Danio rerio: one gene and its partners. The protein of the gene in region 1 binds, or shares a complex with, the protein of each later gene. Links are inferred from orthologs where the notes say so. Each region holds a gene or a part of one and is shown on either strand. Other genes may lie near its edges.

Region 1 (3,660 bases):
TGTACTTCTACAGAAACGATAAGGGGTTTGACCTAATGGGATAGCTCACCCAAAAATGAACAATTAATCATCATTTACTCGTTCAGAACAAGACATTTTGAAAAATGTTGGTGCCTGACAACCCTTAGCTTCCTTAGCATTATTTGTCTACTATAGAAGTCATTGGGTGCCAGCAAACAGCATTCTTTAATATATCTTCTTTTGTGTTTAACAATAAAAGGTTTAAATCCACACAAGAGAAAATAAAGGAGGTAATGGTCATTTTGGGGTGAACTAAACCCTTTTGAAACCATTGAAATGATAATCTCACATCCTCAAGAAGCCGCCCCTCCACACGCAACTCCCAAGATGCAACAGTTCCCTCGCCATCCTCTGCATCTGGCTTGGCAGGGTTGAATGTGTTGGAGATAAATATTCGGAGTTTTCTTTTTTGCTGCGCGGAACAAACAGATCAAACGCTGTTCAAGCACATAAACCACCACAATTTTGTCCTCTAGAAGAGAACAAATGACCAAACTGCACTCAATGTTGGCAAAAAATCGAAAACTACCTTAATGGGTCTCTTGAGAGCTTCCTGAATATCAAGTCGTTTGCGCATGATGGTCTGGTCGAGCTTCCTCTCAAACGCCAACAGGTCCATATAAGCCTGAGACTCTGGGACAAGCTCTCTGATCTGAAATAAAGCAGAAAATCTAAATAATTGCAGCATTTTAATGTTTTTTTTTAAACATTTAACTTGATTGGGCAAGAAAAACAGCAACAAAGGCAAACCAACTACATTACATAAAAATAACATTTGCAAAACATTGCAATGCCAGTCCATTCATTTGTTTAAACCTTGGATTAGTTTATCCAGAATACTTGCACTACTCCAACACGAAAATAACAACAAAGAGGACAGTTTCACGTCCACTTACTCTTTGAGGTAGTATTTTATCTGCCATTTTCTTCTTCTTGGCACTAAAACACAAAACAGCAGCATGAGAATGAATCTAATCAGGCATTTCAAAAGATTACTGTTATATTGACATTAGCATCAGGTTTAATCCATCAGTTAGACTTACTGTTGGTTGCGATTTTGCTGTTGAACCTGCTGTATCTGATTTGGCGCTGGACGTTTGCGGGACGGGTCCATTACTGGCATGCCGGGGCGGGAAACAGGACTGGCCCCGTAACCTGGGGGCCCCATGGAGGGTCCCTGAGGAGTCATACGACTGGCTGGAGGCATTCCTGGTCTCTGCAAAGAAGGAACAAAAGATGATCCAAACGGATGAAACACTGTATTTAAGCACCAATTATAAAACATTCATCCCTTATAGTTCCATTAGGAACATATGGCAGAAATAAATCATAGCACGATTGTTATACACATACATTTAAGCAAGTTTAAATATATTTTATCACAATTTATTACATGGCTGTTTGCAATACTTGATTGGGTCATTCAAGACATTCCAAAGTGTGTTATTCAGAGATAACATCTGTTTAAACAAATAACACAGCCTCATCTAGTGTATTACTTCATCTTGACCATCAGTGAATATGTTGACGTCGATATTTATATGCTCTCATCATTGTTTTGGATAGTTTGGTGCCATCTTGTGACTGAATATATAGGTTTCTCAACCACATTCCTGGAGGCCCACCAACACTGCATGTTTTGGATGTCTGATTTGTTTATCACACCTAATACAGGTCATCAGTCTCTGCTAATGAGCTGATGATCTGAATCAGGTAAATTTAGCTAAGAAGACTTGAAAAATGTGCAGAGCTGGTGGTCTTCAAGGAAAGTGGTCGAGAAACATTGGGTTAGAGTGTGCTTTATTTGGCCATTTTTGTTTCTGTCAGCTCAGAACAATGGTTTGTGTTTAATTGTTTATGCATTATGAGAAACAGCCATGTAATAAGCAGGATAAAGTATAACCAGACAGTTTTCTACACAGAATTTAGACTTGTGGGCTATACAAAAGCCTTTCACTTTGCATTAAGCTGCTGATAGGCCTGTCGGAAATAATTCTTCAATAACAACTGCCTGAATGGCGGACAAAACAAAATGTAATACTTTGTTTTTTTTTAATGATGTAATTGTGGTAAACGTTGTGTTGTTCTGGTTCCCCTCTAATTGCAAAAATCAAGATCTGAATGTTCAAATCTAGTCATGTTGTAAAATGGCATTTAAAAAGAGCACAAGCAATCCATTTTAAGACAATAATCGAAATCAATTATAAAGAAAGATGCTTATATCATTCCTCAACTCTATTACTTTAAATGAACCAGCAAATACCCTTGAATCTCAGTCCAAACAACAGGAGAATGCAAAACAAATATCTTGTGGACGAACATGAAATACCAATGTTTTCCTGCTAAATGGAAGAGTAATGAAATCAAGGCTTCACTGAAGGATGTACACAAGCACAAACTGCGACCTAATTCATCCTTGAAGGCAAGATGAGGCCACAGATTCTCCACATATTTTGTGCAATGTGGAGTTTGACATTTGAGCAATTCTATACAAACGTCAACCTTGCCATTGAAAAAATAAGTTTTCACCAATACAGGAAAACCACTTTTTATGTTTTTTTTTTGTGTAAGGAAGTATTTTAAAGTCATTTAAAAATGCTCAAAAATGTCTTGTGTTTTCAAGAGTCAATGTTTTCCAACTATTACATTTAAATTACCAAAGTCATACAAGTGGCAATTTCATATTTGTCACATCCATAACCAAGCTCTTCCCTCATAAATGCAAAAATGTCAAATTAAATAAACTCAATCATTTTTGTTCTATAGTGAGCAACTCATCCATTTGATGAGCATTATTTATTTTGGGTATTGCAGTTTAATTCACAGAATTTCTAAAAAGCATGTTGTATACTGTAAACTCGCAGACTTTTTTGGTCACATCCATAATGCATGTTTATTTTCCTTATTTAAAGTACAAAACATGTTTACAGAATAATATTTTTCTGATCTCTTAACTCTGTGGTTAGTTGTTTTGGAAAATATAAACAGACATTTCAATATAACGTTAACGTATAATTTCTCTGTGAATTTATGTTTTTAGTTTTTACAGCAAATGTCACATCCATAATGCTGGGATTGCTCATTCATTTTTAAATCCTGGAACAACTCAGATATTTAGTCACAAATCAGCACACAAACAGTTGTGTTCATCACTAAGAAAACAAGTGCTGCTGATCATCTGAATGTTGGTGCAGACGGTCACTGAAACTTAGAAACATCTCATGTCAAGCAACAGTATAGGCATGGGCTGGTATAAGATTCTGACAGTATGATAACCTTGGATAAAAATATCACTGTATCACGGTATTGTGATTACTGCTCTAAAATATGTTCTTCTTAAATGCCTGGGTTAAAAAAAACAAAAAAAAAGTCCCCATTTGAAAACATTATATTTTATTTTTTGAAAGATTTATAATATTTTGAGCATAAACATGTCAGGCTGAATGAATAATCCAAATGAATAATTGACTTCTGCTGTCTTTATTAGTTTCAAAAACACAGATTTCTTTACAATTTAAAAATTCTATGGATTTTTTTTCTGCTGGAGATACTGTCGTCATAAAAAACAAAATACATTTTTTTACAAATACTTTAGGAATGGTGTTAAAAAAACATTTTAGCGGTTTTAAAACCTTGACT
Region 2 (3,660 bases), on another chromosome or scaffold:
TTATTGTTTTATTTTCGATCCACTTAAGTATGTACAAACTCATTCACTTTTTGTCTGTCCCAACCAGGGCCGGCCCGTGGCATAAGCAGTATAGGCAAATGCTAAGGGCGCTGTACATCCAGGGGGCGCCAGAAATGAGCGGGGGTAAGTTGGTTTTGTTTTCGATATTTCTGACACATTCAGTGACAGACGGCAACAACTCAAAAAAACTCTTACTCTAAAAAGATCTAAAGTGTGTTTCCAACAAAAAGACAAAGCTGGTTATGTTTCACAGCTGTCTTTTTCTTTTTTTTCCCGCTTGACATTACGACCACTGCTTCGTTTAAGCCCTCGCAATCTGCGTTTAGCCGGGAGAGCTCACGCTGAGAGGAGTTCTCAGTAAGGGACCGTCGGAAAAGTGCTTATTTTTTTCGTTTTTTTTTTTTTTTGCTCCGTCCTGCGTGTTTTATTTTAAGCACTACTAATTTTCTCTTAAACGAGCACAAACAGTTACTAAAGTAGTCGAATGCTTCATTATAGATCTGTGCATTCTTACATGAACACCTCTGTTATCAAACAAAACACAATGAGAGATTCACTAGCTGCTCTTCACTAAATAACTATAGTAGCTTTTGTTGGAAGAAAAAAAACTGGGTTGGAGAAAAAAACAGAGTGATAGGAAAACACATTTTCAAGCTTTTGTTTTGCGTTCCCTCGCAAAACTGTTTCTCCACAAACACTTCCTGTTCTCATTCATGTAAACTCTCCCGTTTTTGCCGAAATTCTCCCGTATTTTACCATCCTATTCCACTATCATCCTAGCATTAAGTATTTTCCCATATTTCTGATATATGTTTAATCTTGAAAGCACGCTCAAATTAATATTAAAATGTCTGCATTCACTCTCTTTACATTAAAGCTGTGGGTCGATCGTCGCCTTTCATATGCATCCTCTGAATCTGTGAATGCATGTCAGCGCTGACTGACAGACGCGCTCCGTACAATAAACTGATCCCAGATCAGCTTATATACACGCTATTTAAAGTGACATCTCTGTTATCACACAAGTGAGTAATGTAAGTGGGATAGGATGGTAAAATATGGGAGAATTTCGTCAAAAACAGGAGGCTTTAAGTGAGTGAAGTGAACAGGAAGTGTTTGAGGGAACACAAAACATCTTTGCCAGATAACGCAAAACTTTGCGAGAGAACGCAAAAACTTAGAAATATATATTTTCTTCCCACCCATTTTTTTTATTTCACCCATTTTTTTTCTCCTACCCATTATTTTTTTTCACCCTACCAATTTTTAATAGATATATACACTAGATATCGCATAGGGACCCTGAGCATGCGTCAATAGCGCCGCCACATTGGTACAGTGCTCCCAGGACAAATGTCATTCTACCGTACTAGTCAAGACGGTGTTATTACATGAAGATGCGGGACTTTAGCGCTGTCTACGGGTGTAGTAACGAGCAAACAAAGAAAACAAAGCACAAAGGCAGAACATTTCATAGGTGAGATTAAGTTTTTTTTCTGTTTTTGTATGTTATTAACTTTTGTGCTAATCACGTAACGTTTTCGATGATAATACCGTCACTTACTGCATTCACCATACGGCAAAGCAGCACCAACTCGCACTAAACACTCGGCTTATGCTAGTTTTGTTGAATAAAATCAGCAAACAATGCAAAAGAAATATGACAACGAGATGCTGCGCTGCCAAACACTTGTATTATTGTCGACTAGTGAACGAGTCGTTCATTCACAAGCGAATCGCTCCCTTCATCAGTATGAGAAGTGAAAGCAGGAGAGAAGCTGTGTTTCAGGACATGATTAGATCACATTTAACAGGGAAGGTGAATAGTACATTTCTGTACACATGAACACAAGCTTTTTGTCAGGAATGCCCGTGCGGTCACTGATCCATCAATGTAGAAAAGTGATGTAAAATTATAATTTTCGTAAATAGAAAAAAAAAATTGCATACTAACATCCAGGAAAACTCCCGATCACAGATATATGTGTATATGTGTATATCTCTGGCTTTGGATGGCCACAGCCCTCCACTGTACCTTGGTCCCGCATTCATTTCAAAGGAGCGCTACCCTGTACCAAGATGGCGGCGCTATTGACGCATTCCATCCAATAGACAACAATAGGCCAGGCGACATCTAATGTATATATCCATGCCAATTTTTATCTCCTCCACTACGTCCCTTCTGGGTCTCCATAATATGCAAATACAATCTAAAGTGAAGTAGATTTTATAGCTTTATTTAATTTCTGTATAGGCCATTAATTTTAATGGGTTAAACCTTTTATTTTATTGTCAATATTGCATTGATGTTATGGAAAATAGTAATAGTAATGTGACTACCCCTATCATTTCTTCCTCAAGCAAATGTGTAAACATTAGATCTATTCAGCAGTAACGTTAATTGCCTTGGCATATTTATCTGACGTTTTCCCAGCTTGTAGTAGTCGATCAAAAAGCTATTTAGTTTCTTATGACTGTACACTAGCAGTGAAATTACTGCGATGTGACAGGGCGCCACCTGAAATCTTACCTAGGGTGCCAAATTGGTTAGTTGTTGTTGTCGCAGCCACCGCCGCCGTCGTTGTAGTCGTAGTCGTAGTAGTCGTACTAGTACTAAAGAGCGGTGTTGTCGTGTGCATTCTGATCAGCGATGTTGTTCCATGCGTACTGTAAAGCGGGGGGGAGGGGTTTGGAAAGCGCGTATTCAAGAGCGGTGTTGTCGCGCCTACTGAAGGGCGTGGGGGGCAGGGGGGGTGTCGCGGGGGCACTTTTGATCATTTTGGAAGGGCACTTTCAATCCAAGACTAAAAGGGGCATGTGCACTGCACAGGTTGAGCCCTATGTGTGCACGTGCCTGGTCCCAACACAAATTGATTTTTTTTGTTGTGTAAAATTACGATTCAATTCTAGAATCCCCCATATGTTGTGATGTGTCGTTTCTGTGACTTAAAGTAACGAACACTCTGGTCTTTACCTTGCTGCAGGACGTACCCATCATGCACAGGGATGGCGGTGGTGTGCGTGGCTCCGCTGTCCAGCACCAGGCCCGTGGCTCGACCGTTGGCGAAGCTGCAGTCGATCAGGTTAAGGTGAGGTACAAACATCATGACATCATCAGCCTGCCTTTAATACATGAGCAACTGCACTGTGATTGGCTGACGTCCCTGAGTGCTGCGCTCTGATTGGATACGCGGTGAGCACGGCTGTTTTGCACAGGAAGAAAGCGGGGATGTTGTAATGCTCAAATATGAGCTCTGTGAGTTTTTCCCTCTTGGCTCGCGAGTTCCACTGTCACAAAAGAGAGATGGAGGTGAGAAAATCTTTGAATATACTGCAAATGCATCGCTCAGGTCATACAAATCTCAGACAGGACTTCATTGAAGTCAATCATTGACTTGTTATGAATTAGTTTGAGGATGTTTTTTTTCTGTCGAACATAAAAGTAAATACAGCGGGGGAAATAAGTATTGAACACGTCACCATTTTTCTCAGAAAGCATATTTCTAAAGGTGCCGTTGACTTGAAATTTTCCCTAGATGTTGGAAACAATCAAATAAATCTTCATATATGCAAAGAAAACAAATATAATTACTTTATAAATGAAGTTCTGTGTAATAAAATGAAATTTTGCAGGGAAAA
Region 3 (3,660 bases), on another chromosome or scaffold:
TCTCTTATCATTTGGTATTGTTTTGCTGGTAATCTTATGTTAATAAATAATTTAGTTGGAGCCGTTGTTTATATATGGCAAGTCGTCTTTGGATCACGAGTCGTATTTAAATTAGGGACAGTCTTATAAACACGCCTTCAAGTAAAGTGTTATCAAAAAAATCTTTTGGGCTTTTTGTTAAAGGTCCTGTGAAATGTACATATTGTTATTCGATGTTTGACGTATTTTCAACTGAATAATGAAGAGAGAGTGAGACAGACTAGCTCCTCCCATTTTTATAAAACAGCCAATAGCGTTTTGTTTTATCACAGCTCTGCCAATGTGATCAAGTGCAACAAATGAAAAAAGCGGGGCATGTCAGATACTAAAGACCATTTGATTGGTCAGAAGATTTGATGAGAAACTGAAGTATGAGATGATTTATAGTAATTATTATTATTACTACTGAAGTGAAAACTTTTATTTAAAAAACATGAATAGATAGACTATATATATTAAATCAACGTCATCTATTCAAGAATAATTGAATAGGCTATGTATATCAGGGCTCGAAATTGCGACCATTTAATATATTTTGGCGCATTAGTGCGACTACAGATAATGGTTGTAGTGCGACCTGTTTTGATTTTTTGTAAAAACGTGCTGAATCGCTCTTCCCTGCCGCTATATTGGTTCATATTAGCTGTCAATCACTCAAGGTATTCCGCTGTCAGATGACAGGGAAGGAGCTTTTATGAGCACGGGAAATGCAAAAGGCTGAAGAGTGAAAACTTAAAGCACACAGGTTTGCAAACCCCACCTAAAGTTGAGGCGCAGATGAGAGCGATCATGACACGTCACGTGGTGAATAATGATCCACCAGCTGAGATCAATCGAGTACGCGCTTCTTGGAGAAGGTGCCCGAATCTCCATGCGTCGCATTCACTGCGTGTTCAGCGCAAATGTCCGCTAAAAGTCAAATCTAATACTGCACATTTCATCGCCAAAGAAGCTCGCCTTTACTAAGTTTACACTGAAACTGCGGCTCATAACAAAGAGCGATATTGCGCCGGATGTCACCGCAAGAATCTTGCTCTGCCTGCTCATAAATTGGGTCGGCTGACTCGCCTGCTTTTCCACTAACACAGAGAAATGAAGATCATCTCAGACTGAACCTTTAAATTGACACAAACTGAAACCAAAACTTTTAAAGAGTGATAGAAGTGAGACTTTACTTACTTTCTTTTGTCTATTCTTTTTTGAGGTGTAGCTATATTATTTTTATTTTTTATTTATTTACTGATGACTGCTTTGCAGCTTTCATCATTGAATTATATGATTTATTATAATCTTTTGTTTGTTTTGTAGCAGAAATATTATTTATTAAATTGACATGCATATAAAAACAGCAGTACAAAATCAATATTTCTTACTGCAATGCTTCATTTTTGTTTGATGCAAACTATACATTTATTTTTCACAAAGTAACAGACTTTGTATAGCAGATAACCTACATTCATGCACATTTAAGGCAGTATCATAATGAGAAATGTAATTCATTGTTACTATTATTGTCATTTTCATCATCACTAATATTCTATGGCCTAATTATTAGACATTCATTTTGGAATTATTGCACACAAATATCAATGTCTTCTCAGCATTAGTTCAATAGTTGTTTCTGGTTTTTGTCAGTCCTATTGATGTTGTTTTAAAATACAATAAATCCCTTAAAAAGCAATTTGCAGCGGTGCTCATTCATTTTTGGTGGTGCTCCTAAAGTTTTTTTGGTGCTCCTAAATTTATTTTGGTGCTCCTAAATATTTGAAGTTGGGAGCACCGGCGCTACCAAGTAAAAAAGTTAATTTCGAGCCCTGTATATATTAAATCAATGTAAACAATGCCCTCCTGTGGTGAGTCGTATTAATTACATCAATTGCATTGTATCAGTTGTCACGTAAATCAATTATAATATTGGGTTTGTTGTTTGTAAAGTGAACAAAAATGAGAAAAATGCTTGAATTTTAACAGAAATATCTATTTTTAAATCTTCAATATAACAAACAATATAAGTTTACACGTCGAGCGCCCTCCTGTGGTGATACACAATTCTGATGTTAATACATTTTTATTTTAGCGAAAAAGTCACTGTTATTAATAAACAGCAAAAAATGTGTGAGCTGCACTGTTTCAATAGACAATTAAATTATTATTAACAATATTAATACATTATGTAATAAAATAATTACAATGTTAAAATAATCTCAGTAAGTGCCCTCTTGTGGTGAATTATATGCATCAAAATGTTCCATAAACAAATCATTAAAAATCTGCCAAAATACCTCTGATTAAGTCGCCTAGAAATATATACTTATATTGCAATATAAATTGTAAACAATGGAAGTCTGTCGCCCTCCTGTGGTGAATTGTGTGAATTACACTTTAGTATATTTAGACAAACTAGCATATTTGATTGATTTTATTGCATTATTATTTCAGTGAAAAGGTTACTGTTATTAAAAAAAACAACAAATATGTGAACAGAACTATAAAATTCCAATAGACAATCAATTTATTATAAAGAATAAATTAAACAATTTAATAAATAAATATAAATGTAGGTCACATAAGTTAAATGAACGCCCTCTTGTGGTGAATTTTGTGCATCAGAATGTCCCATGTCAAAGATAAATTAAAAATCTGCCAAATTACAGCTCGTTGATTCGCCAAGAAATCTATTTATACCTGTAATATACATTTGTAAAAGTAAGTTTGTGGCCCTCCTGTGGTGAATTGTGTAAATTACACTTCAATTTAATTAAGACAAAAACCTAGAATTTATTTATGTTTTGATTGATTGAATACATTATTTCAGTAAAAATGTCATTAAAAAACAACAACAAAAATAAGTGTGAAGTGAATTATTATTATTATTAAGAATAAATAATTTATATTAGTCACATAACTGTAATGAACGCCCTCTTGTGGTGAATTAAGTGCATCAGAATGTTCCATAAACAAATAATTAAACAAAAATATAAGGTGACGTGGAAAAAAATCAAATAAAGCGCCAATCAATTTAGGCAGAAGTGACAAATTTCAAGCTCTGCATGTGTATATCAGTTTTATACTTTCTCTAATGCTAATTGTCACTATTTTTGAGCACACTAGCTAACAGATATCCATAAACCAAGACAACAAAAATTCTTCAACACTGCAGACAACGCTATTTGCATCTTTTAGAGAGTGAACTCTGACCTCTCCGGCGAAGTTTCCGAGTGTGTCGAGGCCGAGCTGCCGCAGCTGGATGAAGGTGCAGTGAGCGCACAGTAAGAGGAAGCGCAGACATGTGCGATTAGCTGCCAGCAGTTTAATGTTTGCCTCCTCGAAGGACAAATTCCTCAGGATCATCGCAACCTGCAGCACCCGCTGGCCCTCCACGTCCCCAATGCCGGTGTTACGGGCCGGGTGGAAGAGAGGAGTGCAGATGTCCCTCAGCTCCAATCCATCTGAAAGAAAAAATGGATTTTAAAAAATGTCTAGGGTGATTTGTTCATTTATTTATTGCCCCATGGATGCTTTATGGCAAAATCAATGAAGATAAAAACATATTACATAATAACACCTTCAATAACAACTTCATATTTCACTATAATTATTTCAAATAAAGCCAAATTAAAA

The links.
Region 2: smarcd1 (region 1) and actl6b share a complex: the UniProt entries of both Homo sapiens proteins name them as parts of the BAF complex. The link is inferred for Danio rerio from reciprocal best matches to the Homo sapiens genes SMARCD1 and ACTL6B.
Region 3: smarcd1 (region 1) and arid2 share a complex: the UniProt entries of both Homo sapiens proteins name them as parts of the SWI/SNF-B (PBAF) chromatin remodeling complex. The link is inferred for Danio rerio from reciprocal best matches to the Homo sapiens genes SMARCD1 and ARID2.

Annotation. Positions count from the first base shown.
Region 1 is NC_133197.1:7,410,404-7,414,063, forward strand, and holds part of smarcd1 (SWI/SNF-related matrix-associated actin-dependent regulator of chromatin subfamily D member 1), read right to left. Parts: intron 1,238-3,660; coding exon 1,065-1,237; intron 961-1,064; coding exon 918-960; intron 674-917; coding exon 551-673; intron 434-550; coding exon 311-433; intron 57-310; exon of another isoform or gene 6-56; intron 1-5. UniProt on the Homo sapiens protein: Involved in transcriptional activation and repression of select genes by chromatin remodeling (alteration of DNA-nucleosome topology).
Region 2 is NC_133198.1:48,249,039-48,252,698, forward strand, and holds part of actl6b (actin-like protein 6B), read right to left. Parts: intron 3,310-3,660; coding exon 3,212-3,309; intron 3,091-3,211; coding exon 2,996-3,090; intron 1-2,995. UniProt on the Homo sapiens protein: Involved in transcriptional activation and repression of select genes by chromatin remodeling (alteration of DNA-nucleosome topology).
Region 3 is NC_133179.1:1,989,568-1,993,227, forward strand, and holds part of arid2 (AT-rich interactive domain-containing protein 2), read right to left. Parts: intron 3,489-3,660; coding exon 3,238-3,488; intron 1-3,237. UniProt on the Homo sapiens protein: Involved in transcriptional activation and repression of select genes by chromatin remodeling (alteration of DNA-nucleosome topology). Required for the stability of the SWI/SNF chromatin remodeling complex SWI/SNF-B (PBAF).